Linked DNA regions of Anolis sagrei. The protein of the gene in region 2 purifies or fractionates together with the protein of the main gene of each other region. This does not show direct contact. Links are inferred from orthologs where the notes say so. Each region holds a gene or a part of one and is shown on either strand. Other genes may lie near its edges. The genes, in order: GALNT2 and TGOLN2.

What was found.
Region 1: the proteins of TGOLN2 (region 2) and GALNT2 purify together in Homo sapiens (affinity purification with mass spectrometry; 3 studies listed by BioGRID and IntAct, counting the BioPlex papers as one, with this or other methods). This does not show direct contact. The link is inferred for Anolis sagrei from reciprocal best matches to the Homo sapiens genes TGOLN2 and GALNT2.

What each region holds. Positions count from the first base shown.
Region 1 is NC_090021.1:61,525,653-61,533,642, reverse strand, and holds the start of GALNT2 (polypeptide N-acetylgalactosaminyltransferase 2), read right to left. Parts: upstream 3,108-7,990; 5' UTR 3,019-3,107; coding exon 2,908-3,018; intron 1-2,907. UniProt on the Homo sapiens protein: Catalyzes the initial reaction in O-linked oligosaccharide biosynthesis, the transfer of an N-acetyl-D-galactosamine residue to a serine or threonine residue on the protein receptor.
Region 2 is NC_090027.1:16,335,619-16,343,086, reverse strand, and holds the start of TGOLN2 (trans-Golgi network integral membrane protein 2), read right to left. Parts: upstream 3,063-7,468; 5' UTR 2,991-3,062; coding exon 2,816-2,990; intron 1-2,815. UniProt on the Homo sapiens protein: May be involved in regulating membrane traffic to and from trans-Golgi network.

The DNA.
Region 1 (7,990 bases), on a different chromosome or scaffold from region 2:
AGGGAGGGGGAAAGCTAACCATAGGAGTCTTGGCAAGACATAATAGACGTGTGAGGTTGAAAGACACCCGAAGGGTCATCCAGACCAACCCCATTCCTACATGCAGGGATGGAGTAAGGAACACCTAAGGAGGAGGTGAGCACAGAATATGGCAAGATATGAACCTTGGCACCATGCTTCGAAGGGAAGGAGAACTCTAATGATGGGTTTCTGTGAGTTTTCCGGACTGTATAGCCATGTTCCGGAAGCATTCTCTCCTGGCATTTCATCGACATCTATGCCAGGCATTCTCAAAGGTTGAGGGATCTGTTGGAAACTAGGCAAGTGGGGTTTATATATCTGTAAAATGTCCAGGGTGGGGGGAAAAACTCTGGTCTGATTGAGGCAGGTGTGAATGTTGCAATTTGGCCATCTTGATTAGCATTTAATGGCCTTGCAGTTTCAAAGCCTGGCTGGTTGCTGCCTGGGGAATCCTTTGTTGGGAGATGTTAGCTGGCCCTCATTGATTCTTGTCTGGAGTTCCCCTACTTTTTGCAACATTCACACCTGCCTCAAAAAGACAAGAATTCTTTTCTCCACGCTGGACATTCTACAGATATGTAAACCACACTTGCCTAGTTTCTAAAAGACCCCTCCACCTCTGAGGATGCCTGCCATAGATGTGGGCAAAACATCAGGAGAGAATGCTTCTGGAACATGGCCATCAAACCTGGAAAACTCCCAGCAACCCAGTGATTCCAGCCATGAAAGCCTTCGACAAGGAATCATAAATCTTGGCAAGTCATAGAAGAGACTACCTGGGCCAACCAGTCCAACCCCATTCTGCCACACAATGAAAGCTCTCTGAAGAGAGGGTCATCCGGCTTAAAAAAAAAAAACCTCTAGAGGAGGAGCTTCTATCACACTACGGAGCTTCTATCACACGAGGAAGTTCTTCCAAAGGGTTAGGTAAAATATGTTTCCCTGCCTTTTAACTCCTCCACATTGTCCAGAGCAGGCATGAGCAAACTTGGGCCCTCCCTTAAGCGGCTGAGGAGAGAAAGGAAGGGGCCTGAGGCTGTTAGGAATGGTGGGAGCTGAAGTCCAAAACGCCTGGAGGGAGGGCCCAAGTTTGCCCAGGAGTGATCCAGAGGCAGCAGAGCACAAGCCGGCCCCTTCCTCACAGAGACCTCCTTTCGGGTATTTCAAACATGGAAGCAGTACGCAGCACTTCCTCCCCGCGAGGGAGGGAGGGAGAGAGGAAGACCTGGTTCGCCCAAGGCGAAGAAGGCGCAACAGCCTGGCTGGGTTTCAGCCGGGAAGGAGCTCCTCGTGGCGCCCATTTCCTCAATACACACGCATACACATTCACGGGGACCCTGTTCCCACCGAAGAAGAAGCAGTCACGAGGCGCCCCAGTTTCCCCAAAGAGGACATCCCCTCACGCCTCCGACAGGAAGGAAGGGGGGGGGGGAGACAGCATGGAAGGAGGAAAGGGAAGAGGAAGCAGCGAGGAGACTGAAGGAACCGAGGAAGGAAGGAAGAGAGGGAAAGGGAAGGGAGTCCTCCATGGAAGGAGAAAGGAGTGAATCTGACTTAAGGAAAGAGCCTCGGCAGGAAGGAAAGGAGGATGGGAGGGAGAGGCAGCATGGAGGGAGGAAAGGGAAAAGGGAAGAGGAAGCAGCGAGGAGACTGAAGGAACCGAGGAAGAGAGGGAGGGAGGAAGAGAGGGAAAGGAGGAAAGGGAAGGGAGTCCTCCATGGAAGGAGAAAGGCGAAAGGAGTGAGTCTGACTTAAGGAAAGAGCCTACGAAGGTAGGAAGAGGCAGCATGGAGGGAGGAAAGGGAAGAGGAAGCAGCAAGGAGACTGAAGGAACCAAGGAAGAGAGGAAAAGGAGGAAAGGGAGTCATCCATGGAAGGAGAAAGGCGAAGGAGTGAGGAGTCTGAGGTAAAGGAAAGAGCCTCGGCAGGAAGGAAGGAAAGCCGGAAGGAAGAAGGGAGGCAGCATGGAGGGAGGAAAGGGCAAAGGAAGCAGCCAGCAGACTGAAGGAACTGAGGAAGGAAGGGGTGAGGAGCCTGAGGTAAACGAAAGAGCCTCGAAAGGAAGGATAACAGGAAGGAAGGAGGCAACATAGAAGAAGGAAAGAGAAAAGGAAGCAGCGGGGAGCCTGAAGGAGCCAAGGAAGGAAGTGAGGAAAGGGAGTCTTCCATGGAAGGAGAAAGAGGAAGGAGCGAGGAGCCTGAGGTAAACGAAAGAGCCTCGGAAGGAAGGAATGCAAAAAGGAAGGAAGGAAGGAAGGAAGGAGGCAGCATGGAAGGAAGGGAAGAGGAAGCAGCGAGGAGACTGAGGAAGCCAAGGAAGAGAGGAAGGAAAGAAGAAAAGGGAAGGAAATCCTCCATGAAAGGCGAAAGAGGAAGAGGCAAGGAGCCTGAGAGCCTCGGCAGGAAGGAAGGGGGGAAAGGACGGAAGGAAGGAGGCAGCATGGAAGGAGAAAAGAAATAAGAGAGGAAAAGGAGGAAAGGGAAGGAAATCCTCCATGAAAGGCGAAAGAGGCGAGGAGCCTGAGGTACTTGAAAGAGCCTTGGCAGGAAGGAAGGAAGGAAAAAAGGAAGGAGGCAGGATGGAAAGAGGAAATGGAAGAAGCAGCAGCGAGGAGACTGAGGAAGCCGAGGAAGGAAGGAAAGAAGAGAGAGAGGAAGGAAGGAAGGAAGAGAGGAAAGGGAAGGGAGTCCTCCATGACAGGAGAAAGGCGAAGGAGGGAGAGGGAGAGGAATGGGCGAGGAGCCTGAGGGAAAAGAAGGAGCCTCGGCAGGAAGGAAGGCAGGCAGGCAGGCAAACGGGGGAGCCGTGAGGAGAAGGTCCAGCGAGGCTTCTCCCCGGCTGAGGGCGAAGGGAAGCCGCGCCCCCCCCCCCCTCCTGCTCCTCACCTTCCTTCCTCCGCCGGCGAGGGCGGCGCTGCCCCCGGAGTACATGTAGTAGGCGATGCCGAGCACCCAGAGGAAGGCGAAGCAGAGCAGCAGCCGAGACTTGCGCCGCATCCTCCCGCCCGCCCAGTGCTGCAGCCGCGGCACCAGCCGCCGCCAGGCCAGCAGGAAAGGGGCGGCAGGCGATGCCGCTGCCGCCTCCACCGCCCGCCCTCCTGCCCGCCTTCCTCCTCCCCCTCCGCCGCCGCCGCACAAGGGTCAAGGGGCAGAGGGCGCGCGCCCACCCTCTGGCCAATCGCCGGCCGCCAAGCGCCGCGCGGGGCGGAGCTCAGCCGCGCCGTCGCCATGGTTGCAGCACGCGGGGCCTCCTGGGGTCCCTCTTCCTTTCATGCCTCTCGGTCCTTTAGCGCCGCTTCAACCACAGCTAGGCCTCTTCCGAGAGCTGGGAGCCCGGGTGGCAGCCGAGGCCGGCGCCCTGCCTTCCAGCCTCAGGGGACTTCCAGCCTCAGGGGCCTACCTTCCCAGGCTTCCCGTCCCATAGAACCCTCTCCGCGGGACATGAGATGTCGTTCCCGTACGAGCCTGGCCTTCCCCCGGGGAGAAGCTCCGCAGAAGGGACTTGCCTCGAAGTAAAGGCGTGTGGAGCGGGAGGTTGGAAGGCCTCTCCTTTCTTCATGCCAGGCGTGGGAAAGGTATGTCTCACTGGAGGAGGAAGAGCTGGCGTTCAGGCTGCACTTTCGGCAGCTCTAGTCCTGTAGAGTTTTGTTTTTTGATGTATTTCATTATTAGAGTGGATTTCAAAAGACTTTTACATACCTCAGTCAGCAAGTGGAGTGGTGATAAAATAGGAAATAATAATAATAATAATAATAATAATAACAAACATTTGATTTTGCAGTAACTTATTTAAGCATAGTTATTATCAAACATCTCACTTCTGCCCTCATCACACTAGAGAAAAAATCAACTTAAAATCCAGTTTCTACCTCCTGCAGAATTCTGGGGTTTGTAGTTTAATAGTTTAAGGAGCTGGGCATGTTTTGCCTGCAGAAGAGAAGGCTGAGAAAAGATATTATAGCCATGTATAAATATGTGAGAGGAAGCCACAGGGAGGAGGGAGCAAGCTTGTTTTCTGCTTCCTTGGAGACTAGGATGCGGAACAATGGCTTCAAACTACAAGAGAGGAGATTCCATCTGAACATGAGGAAGAACTTCCTGACTGTGAGAGCTGTTCAGCAGTGGAACTCTCTGCCCCGGAGTGTGGCGGAGGCTCCTTCTTTCCAGGCGTTTAAAGGGAGGCTGGATGGCCATCTGTCGGGTGCTTTGAATGCAATGTTCCTCCTTCTTGGCTGAGAGAAGATATTATAGTTGGACTGGATGGCCCATGAGGTCTCTTCCAACTCTTTGATTCTATGATTCTATGAGTCGCCTTCGGGCTGAGAGTGGCGGTTAACAAATGCAAATAATAATAATAATAAAATAATGCTGTTAAAGGCTCCTCTCTAAACTACAAACGCCAGAATTCTGCAGGAGGTAGAAACTGGATTTGAAGTGGATTTTTTCTCTAGTGTGATATAGTGTTACCTACCTCACACACATACCTCACACACAGTCACCTACGGATGTGAGAGCTGGACCATAGGGAAGGCTGAGTGAAGGAAGATGCTTTTGAACTGTGGTGCTAGAGGAAAGTTCTGAGAGTGTCTTGGACAGCGAGAAGATCCAACCAGTCCATACTTCAAGAAATAAAGCCTGACTTCTCGTTGGAGGGAAGAATACTAGAGGCCGAGATGAAGTACTGTGGCCACATCATGAGAAGAAAGGAAAGCTTAGAAAAGACAATTATGCTGGGGAAAAGGAAGAGGGAGTGACCAAGGGCAAGATGGATGGATGGTATCCTTGAAGTGACTGGATTGACCTTGAAGGAGCTGGGGGTGGTGACGGCTGACAGGGAGCTCTAGCGTGGTCCATGAAGTCACGAAGTCAGAAACGAATGAACAACAACAACTTCACACACTGCAAAAGCAACAGGGATTCCTTCCCTTACGCCAGTGGTTCTCAACCTATGGGTCCCCAGATGTTTTGGCCTTCAACTCCCAGAAATCCTAACAGCTGGTAAACTGGCTGGGATTTCTAGGAGTTAGGTTCTTGTGGGTTTTTTCGGGCTATAGAGCCATGTTCTAGAGGCATTTCTCCTGACGTTTCGCCTGCATCTATGGCAAGCATCCTCAGAGGTTGTGAGGTCTGTTGGAAGTAGGAAAAATGGGTTTATATATCTGTGGAATGGCTGGGGTGGGGCAAGGAGCTCTTCCCTGCTGCAGTTAGGTGTGAATGTTTAGCTGATCACCTTCATTAGCATTTGAAGGCCTGCCTGAGCCTGGGAAAATCTGTTGCTGGGAGGTGTTAATCTGTGCCTGGTTTTTTCCTCTCTGTTGTTTAGCTGTTATAATTTTAGAGTTTTTTAATACTGGTAGCCAGATTTTGTTCATTTTCATGGTCTCTTCCTTTCTGTTGAAATTGTCCACATGCTTGTGGATTTCAATGGCTTCTCTGTGTAGTCTGACATGGTGGTTGTTGGTGTGGTCCAGCATTTCTGTGTTCTCAAATAATATGCTGTGTCCAGGCTGGTTCATCAGGTGCTCTGCTATGGCTGACTTCTCTGGTTGAAGGAGTCTGCAGTGCCTTTCATGTTCCTTGATGCGTGTCTGGGCGCTGCGTTTGGTGGTCCCTATGTAGACTTGTCCACAGCTGCATGGTATACGGTAGACTCCTGCAGAGGTGAGAGGATCCCTCTTGTCCTTTGCTGAACGTAGCATTTGTTGGATTTTCTTGGTGGGTTTGTAGATTGTTTGTATGTTGTGTTTCCTCATCAGCTTCCCTATGGAAGTTGGAACTTCCCTAGGAGTTGTAGGCCAAAACACCTGGGGACCCACAGATTGAGAACCACTGCCTTACACCATAAATAAATAATAGCTCTTCCCTCCAAAACAGCGAGTAAAGCTTAGAAAATGTTCTGGTTTTAAAAAAAATAATAATTACAATTTGCACAATCTAGCAACCAGCATGCTCAAATGACCACACTGGCTTTCCAAACTTGGTTGGACAGGTGGAATTTTTCAAAGCTTTGGCAGTGAATTAACATCATGAAAATGGTGTGTAGTATGATTTCTTAAAAGTTTTCTGGCATGATTTTCCCATATACACTTCTCTGCAAATCTGTGGGTATAAAAAGACTGTATAATAAAAGTAAAACTAGCTGGCCAAGTTTGGTCTACAAACCTCAATAGGCATATGTAGGCTAGTTATTTGATTTGCATTTTGTTGCTACTTTATGTCAATTCTGTATCTGTGTTTGATGCAAGTTTTTAAAAATATTTTTGTGTTTTAATCGAAGTATTTATTGTACATATTATATGTTCATATGTTTTTGACTTTGTTGTACTGTACCCTGCCTCAAACCATCAAGAGAAGCAGGTAATAAATAAAATTATTATTATTATTATTATGTCATTGCCCCGTGTTTCTGGTTTTTTAATTAACTTACATATCAATTTTAAACTACCAAGTATACACATTTACCCAAAAATTATAAAATAATAACAACAATAATGACACACACAACAATATAAACAAACCCCACCTTTCCCTACATCTATGTTCAACTAGATCAGTGGTTCCCAACCTGTTTTGACTTTATCCAGCCTTAGCCCAACAAAATCTCCCAAGGACTCTCCAACTGAAGATGTTTAATTCAACAAACCCAAGTTCACATAATGCTGGCATTTTCACCATACCTGTGCAAAATAACCCCATTGCCTTCCCAGTTTGCTGAGCTCCATGGAGTCTGGAGAACATTTCTTCCTTCTCTTGGATAATATTTTACAAAATGGCTCCTTAATTTTGTTGTCATGTTTAAGGTAACTCAGCATCCACATTTAATGCAGTTTAATAATTCTGAAATAAACAATAGACTTGGTCCTTTTTCATGTTTTAATCCACTCCTGTCTTGCACTCCAAAAAATAAACTAACAACACATATCCATTCCACACTATATATATTCACTCCCCCTCTCTCCCTATCTAATCTTTTCTTTTCTTTTTTTACCAGACACGACTTGAACAGGGACCACTTTGACCAGGGACTACACTCCAACATTTTGGAGTTTTTGATCAACTTTTCATTCAGTTTGGTTATTTGGGATGCTGATTCAGAAAATTGCATTGGATAGACCACATCAGCTCTAGTTTCTGATACAGAGCATATGCTGTCTAGTAGTCCCTATCTGCTCACCCACAGAAAACCCTATTTAATAATCTAGAGCTGATGTGGTAGTAGTAACCTTTTGTGGGTAGTCAGCCTCTCCTCCTGATATCCTTGTTTTCCAGTTTTCCAGGCCCCAATTGTTGTTCCATTACTGATTCTACCTTATTTATTATAAAATTAAAATATCTTAATTTATAATAAAATTAAAATCTTTATATAGAATTCTAATACCAAATTGGTCATATAATTTAATTGTATGTGTCTTTTAAAAAACTGGAGTTATTTCTGCCCTCATTTTAATAGAATCATAGAGTTGGAAGAGACCTCATGGCCATCCAATCCAAACCCCTGCCAAGAAGCAGGAAAATTGCTTTCAAAGCAACCCCAACAGATGGCCATCCAGCTTCTGTTTAAAAGCCTCCAAAGAAGGAGTCGCCACCACACTCCGGGGCAGAGAGTTCCCCTTCTGAACAGCTCTCACAGTCAGGAAGTTCAGTCACTAAACTCAATTTTCCTTAAATATTTCTGCAGTCTTCTCTTCAAACAAAATTAGTAATTTGTCCATTTCTATGGAATCTTAGGTTTTCATAGCCCACTCTATTTGCATTGATGTCTTTTCCCAAAGTTTTGTTAATATAGCCCTAGCTTCTGTGAGTTGAAAACCTGGTCCCACCATTCAGCAAATGGAAGAGACTTCTGATCATTCTCTCTTCTTGAAAGAGAGCTGTGGCGACCAAAGAAGAAATCCAGCCATCTATGGCCTTGAGGTGTGCCTTGCTGCCTTGTCCCATTGCAGTATTGAACCAAGCTTGTGTAATCAGT
Region 2 (7,468 bases):
TCGCGTTTATGAGGGAGGAAAGAAGAATAGAGCCACTGAGAGACCCTCGTTGCTATGGAGACGACCTTGGCCCTCTCAGAGCTGGAGAAGGGAGAAAGTAGGTAAACAGCGGCCTCAATGTCACCCGGGCAGTGCCAGGTATGTGTGTATATATATATGTATATAGCCATCCCCTGCCATGCATTGCTGTGGCCCAGTCTGGTGATTTGGAAAATAAAGTACCGTAATGAGAAAGTGTTGGTTTCTAATATATGTAATTTCTTTATGCTTGTGGGTATACAGTATTTGATTATATTTTCGTGCCCTGGTGAAGGGAGTTGGACTGGATCGCCTTTTCTATTGGTCATAGCGGTTCTGTGTGGGATGTTTGCTCCCAATTCTATCATTCCTGGGGTTCAGAATGCTTTTTGATTTTGGTAGCAATTTGTCCAGTGGTTCTTGAGTTATGTTAATCCCACAGACGAACATTACAGTTTTATTTATATAGACTAGGCATTCCCTGCCATGCGTTGCTGTGGCCCAGTCTGGTGATCTGGAAAATAAAGTAATGAGAAAGTGTTGGTTTCTAATATATGTAATGTCTTGATACTTGTGAGTAAACAGTATTTCTTGTTGTTTCTTTGTTAGTGTTGATGTAGAGATTGTCTGGTTTGCCTACTAGGGAATATACAACATATAACTGTCCTTCTTCAGGGGTCTCTTTCAAATCTATGATACTATTATCTGTCATATATGTATATATGTGTGTGTGTGAATCATATCTATCTATATTTATGGCTGGATGGCTCTTTGTCAGGAGGGCTTTGATTATGTTTTCTTGCTCTGGTGAAAGGAGTTGGACTGGATGGCCTTAAGTATTTTCTGTTGGTCATGGGGGTTCTGTGTGGGAAGTTTGCCCCAATTCTATCATTCGTGGGGTTCAGAATGCTCTTTGATCGTAGGTGAACTATAAATCCCAGTAACTACAACTCCCAAATGGAAACGTCAATTTCCCCCAAACTCCATCTGTGTTCATATTTGGGCATTTGGAATATTTGTGCTAAGTTTGGCCCAGATACATCATTGTTTGAGTCCACAGTGCTCTGTGGTAGTAGGTAAACTACAACTCGTATCTATTTGTGTTTATATGTGTGTTTCCATATATATGTGTGTGTGGGTGTATAGATGTTTGTATATATATATGTGTGTGTGTGCATATATGTGTATATGTATATGTGTGTGTGCATATATTTGTGTATTTGTTTATATGTGTACATGCATATTGTGTATATGTGTGTTCTTGTCTATATGAATATTTGTGTATATGTATATGTGCATATATTTGTGTATTTGTTTGTTTATATGTGTACATGCATATTTTGTATATGTGTGTGCGCATATATTAGTGTATTTGTTTGTTTATATGTGTACATGCATAATGTGTATATGTGAGTTCTTGTCTATATGAATATTTCTGTGTTTATGTATATATGTATATCTGTGTGCATGTGTATATGTATGTGCATATATTTGTGTATTTGTTTGTTTATATGTGGACATGCATATTTTGTATATGTGTGTTCTTGTCTATATGAATATGTGTGTGTTTATGTGTATATGTATATGCATGTATATCTGTATGTGTGCATGTGTATATACACACACACACACATGTGTATGAGTGCATGTGTATATGTATATGAGTGTATTTGTATATGTATATATGGTGTATTTTTTGGATTTTTAAGTCTGTTCCGCTGGGTTTGTGTGTGTTTTAGGGATGATGGACACTTGTTGGACTGTTACGTGTATTGTGTCCAAATTTCGTGTCAATTCCCCCAGTGGTTTTTGAGTTATGTTAATCCCACAAACGAACATTAAATTTTTATTTATATAGATAGATAACACACACACACACACTACCGTAGTATATTAATAAATATGAGATGAACTTTCATGGTGGACTCATCAGCCACAGAAATGAACAGAAGCCTTTGATGATGCTGCTCTATCTCCATTGCCTACTGTTAAGAGCCTAGGTGTCATTTTGAATTTGCAGCTGACGATGGAGGCTCAGGTTGCTGCTGCCAGCAAACAGGCCTTTTTCCATCTACGACAAGCGAGGCAACTGGCACCTTACCTGTCGGATGAGGCTCTGGCAACAGTCATCCATGCCACGGTCACATCTAGGCTAGACTATTGTAACGCCTTGTATGTTGGCTTTCCTATTTCTACGACCCGAAAGCTCCGTATTGTTCAGAATGCTGCAGCCAGGTTACTCACAAAAACGCCCATGAAATGCCATATAACACCAGTGCTGCGGCATCTACACTGGCTCCCAATTGAGCATCGTGGTTTGTATAAGATGCTGGTCCTGACCTTTAAAACTTTATTTGGCCAGGATCCATTGTATCTTAGAGACCGCCTCTCCTTCTACCATCATCGGAGGTCGCCACGACCATCCCAACGCGATCTGCTCAATATACCGGGTCCTAGAGAAGTGCGCTTGGAAAGCACCAGACGCAGATGGGCCTTCTCTATTTCTGCCCCTGCCTTGTGGAATTCCTTGCCGCCCTATTTCCGAGCCATGCGCGACTTGGGGCGTTTTGTCCTGGCGCTTAAGACCTGGCTTTTTACTGGAGCATTTGACTCATGTTAATTTTAATATTTGTATGTATGCGTTTTATCCTGTGTAATTCCTGCAGTGTAAATCGCCTGGAGCATCTCGGATGGAGGGCGATTAATAAGTAATTAGAGATGAGATGAGAAGCGAAAGGGGAAGGGCAGGGAAACATGGGGGAAACATGGCCCGAGAGCCACCTCCTCGCGCTCTGACCTGGGCCCTCCTTTGCGGCCTCCTCCGCCTCTGCTTCCTCCGCGCCGCCGCCTGTTCCTCCTCCTCCTCCTGCTGCTGCTTCTCCTCCGCCGGGCTCCAGCGGCGCCGAGGCACCGAAGGCGGCCACTTGGAAGAGGAGGAAGAGCAGAAGGAGGCACCGCCGCGCGCTCGCCATGCCGGCCAAGCCCAGACTCTTTTCCGCTTCCCGCAACACCTCCACACGGGAAAAGGAAGTCCGTTCACGTCACATCCGCCGAGGGAGACTCCCCGAGCTCTGGTCTCCACTCTCGCGAGAATAGGAGGCGCCCTGTCACAGAAAGGGAGGGAAGGAGAAGGGGGCGGGGCTTCGTCGATGAGGCGCCCTAGAGCTACGAATGAACTAGAGTGCTGTAACATGCTTTGATTCTTCACTTGAGCATCTCATCAGGTTCCTTCATGGCTATATATATAGAGAGAGAGGGTGCATCTTCTAAAGGCCAATGAAATTCATATTAAAATTCTATAAAGCCACAAGGATAATAGCACATTTTATTTATTTATTTATTTACTTTGCTTCTATACCGCTGTTCTCAGCCCAAGGGTGACTCACAGCGGTGTACAACATGGGAAGAACAAAATACAAAACACAGTATAAAAACAATTCTCAAACCATTATGCAAAAAACATACAAAAAGCATTATACAAAACATTGTCATTACTACGAAACCATTCAGCATCGTCTCATTGTCTAAACCACAATCCAATATCATTTTCCGTTATTCCATTCCTATAGTCATTACCAATCATTGCACTTCTTGTTCGAACGTCTTCTTGAACAACCAGGTTTTTAATTTTCTGTGGAATATCAACAGGGAAGGAGCCTGTCTGATGTCCATGGGAAGGGTGTTCCACAGCCGAGGGACCACCACCGAGAAGGCCCTATCTCTCGTCCCCGCCAGCCATGCTTGTGAAGCAGGCGGGATCGAGAGCAGGGCCTCCCTGGAAGATCTCAAAGTCCTGGTGGGCTCATAGGTCGAGATGCGGTCGGATAGGTATCTTGGGCCAGAACTGTTTAAGGCTTTATAGGCCAACGCCAGCACCTTGAATTGGGCCCGGTAGCAAATTGGCAGCCAGTGGAGCTGGTACAACAAGGGGGTTTTATGCTCCCTACGTCCCGCCCCTGTTAGTAACATGGCTGCCGCACGTTGGACTAATTGAAGCTTCCGGGCCGTCTTCAAAGGCACCTCCACGTAGAGAGCATTGCAGTAGTCTAAACGGGATGTAACCAGAGTGTGGACTACTGTGGCCAAGTCAGACTTCCCAAGGTACGGGCGCAGCTGGCGCACGAGCCTTAGCTGTGCAAAGGCTCCCCTGGTCACCGCCGAGACCTGGGGCTCCAGGCTCAGCGACGAATCCATTTTCTTCACAACTGTCTAGGATACTCTGCTTGAAGTAATATATTAGAGTTGAAAACCCGTTGCTAGGTGAAGTGGCCCTCTGCGGTGTCACTGGTTTAGCTGTTGCTAGGTGAAGTGGCTTTCTCCGATGCCACTGGCCTGGTTGTTGCTAGGTGGCCTTCTGCGGTGTCACTGGTCTGGCTGTCGCTAGGTGAAGTAGCCCTCTGCAGTGTCATTTATCTGGCTGTTACTAGGTGGCCTTCTGCGGTGTCACTGGTCTGGCTGTCGCTAGGTGAAGTAGCCCTCTGCAGTGTCATTTATCTGGCTGTTACTAGGTGGCCTTCTGCGGTGTCACTGGTCTGGCTGTTGCTAGGTGAAGTGGCCCTTTGTGGTGGTGCTAGCCTTGCTGTTGCTAGATGAAGTGGTCCTCTGGTGTCACTGGCCTGTCTGTCGCTAGGTGAAGTGGCCCTCTGCAGTGCCATTGATCTGGCTGTTGCTCGGTGAAGTGGCCCTCTGGGGTACCACTAGCCTTGCTGTTGCTAGGTGAAGTGGCCCTCTGCATTGTCACTGGCCTGGTATCACTAGGTGAAGTGGCCCTCTGCAGTGTCATTGATCTGGCTGTTGATAGGTGGCCCTCTGCGAGGTCACTGGTCTGGCTGTTGCTAGGTGAAGTGGCCTGGCTGTCGCTAGGTGAAATGGCTCTCTGCAGTGTCATTGATCTGGCTGTTGCTAGGTGAAGTGGCCCTCGGGGGTACCACTGGCCTTGCTGTTGCTAGGTGAAGTGTCCATCTGCAGTGTCACTGGCCTGGCTATTACTAGGTGAATTGGCCTTCTGCGATGTCACTGACCTTGCTATCGGTAGGTGAAGTGGCCCTCAGCAATGTCACTTGGAAAGAATTGTGAGGCATACAAAGTGAATGGGGGAAAGAGCCATAAAGAGGGACACATTGCCATGGAGATCTTGTGAGGTAGGCCCTCTCAAGAGCTGGAGAAGGGAGAAAGAGAAGGAAATAAAAAAAGGGGGGGGGCGAAGGGGTGAGAAAGAAGGCATGACAGTAGTGTAACAATACCTTAGTAATGCCAGGTATATACGGTAACATGCACACATCACTACAAAAACACACCTTGCAATGTACTGAGAAGGTATAATAAGAGACAAGAATGTCGCAATTTCATAAACAGATTATTGACAGGTGGTGATACACATATTACCAGACCTACTACAGGTGTCTGTGGCCAGGCACATCAGCCCTAGTGGAAGATTGTTGTGCGTGAAGGAGGAGAAATACAACGCCTCGCATGTCTGTGAATTGGGCGGCCTGCAAAACTCTCTTGTTCCAGACAGCCATGTAAGGTCTGCCAAGTTTGTAAAAGTCAGCTCCTTAAGTCTCTAGAAATAGACTCAGCTAAACAATTATCACATAGCACCATCTTGTGGTCTCCGTCATATTTTTTTTCTTCTGAGATCATGAAAATCGTGGATGAAATCCTTCTTACAAATTAATTGATGGCTTGGAAATTGTCGGTTTTTGTGATCTCATTGAGGTGGATTCCCCTCGTTCAATCTGTTCTATCCCCAGCCTTGCCCAAAGAAGAGGAATAGCTTAGTTCGCTACCATTGTTATTGTTATGTGTCTCTAAATAATTTCCAATTGATGATGACCTTAAAACCAACATATCATTGGGTTTTCTTGGCAAGATTGGTTCAGTATGAGGTTGCTGTCACCTTCTTCTACTGGACTGTTTTGACATTCTATGGCAGTGTTTCTCAACCTGGGGGTCAGGACCCGTGGGGTTGCAAGAGGGTTTCGGGGGGGGGGGGGGGGGTCGCCAAAGACCAACAGAAAACATATTGATAGTCTGAAGATCTCTCCACCTGTCCTCTTCCTTTTTGGAAACAGAGGTCAAATCCGCACTCCTCTGCTGTGATTGGCCGACCTCTCATCCAAGGAGAAGGTTGTTTTTGAGACTCCAAGCAGGGAGAGGAGAGTAGGTGTGCTCAGCACGTGGCAGTGTGTTGTGTATGTGTGGCCGAGGGAGAGCGTGCAGGGCTGGAGGGAGGCTCACGCCAGCAAGTCTCTTCAAGCTATGGGGGTTCTGCATGGGAAGTTTGGCCCAATTCTATCGTTGGTGGGGTTCAGAATGCTCTTTGATTGTAGGTGAACTATAAATCCCAGCAACTACAACTCCCAAATGTCAAGGTAAATTTTCCCCAAGCTCCATCAGTGTTCACATTTGGGCATATTGAGTATTTGTGCCAAGTTTTGTCCAGATTAATCATTGTTTGAGTCTACTGTGCTCTCTGAATGTAGGTGGACTACAACTCCAAAACTCAAGGCCAACACTCACCAAACCCTTCAAATTTTTTCTGTTGGTCATGGGAGTTCTGTGTGCCAAGTTTGGTTCAATTCCATTGCTGGTGAAGTTCAGAATGCTCTTTGATTGTAGGCGAACTATAAATCCCAGCAATTACAACTCTAAAATGCCGTCTATTCTCCCCAGTTACCACCAGTGTTCACTTTTGGACATATTGAGTATTCGTGCCAAGTTTGGTCCAGATCTATTTTCTGCTGGTCGTGGGAGTTTTGTGTGCCAAGTTTGGTTCAATTCTATCGCTGGTGGAGTTCAGAATGCTCTTTGATTGTAGGTTAATTATGAATCCCAGCAACTACAACTCCCAAATGACAAAATCAATCCCCCCCCCCCCCCAAACCATCAGTGTTCAGATTTGGGCGTATCAGGTATTAATGCCAAATTTGGTCCAATTAATGAAAATACATCCTGCACATCAGATATTTACATTACGATTCGTGCTGCCATGGATTCTTGTTTGACCAGTACTTGTGGATAATACTTCATGCTATTTGCCTTTGGACCTTGGAAACTCTGCCTTTGCAGTTGAGACTCTGTTTTGGCTATTGAACTTTTGCAACCTTATTTCTACATTTATGATTTTGTTTTTCTTCAATAAACTACAAAACCTACAGCCTTGGTGTGTGGTGTTGTTCTGAGCAAGGTGAATCTATCCTGAGTTGCGACAACATCATCATCTCTGAATAAGCATTTATTTATTTTATAAATGTCACAACAATGTTTTATTTTCGACTTCTGGGGCTGCCAGAAGTCTCAGCCGGCAAGACCAATAGTCAGGGATTTACAGAAAAGTGAAACTGTAAAGGGGAGTAGCAACGACAGTTTGCAAATGCTGCATGAATGGCACTGGAAAGCATTTCAACAATCCCAGCATATCTGCGGCTGTCTTGCTCTTGCTCCCTGT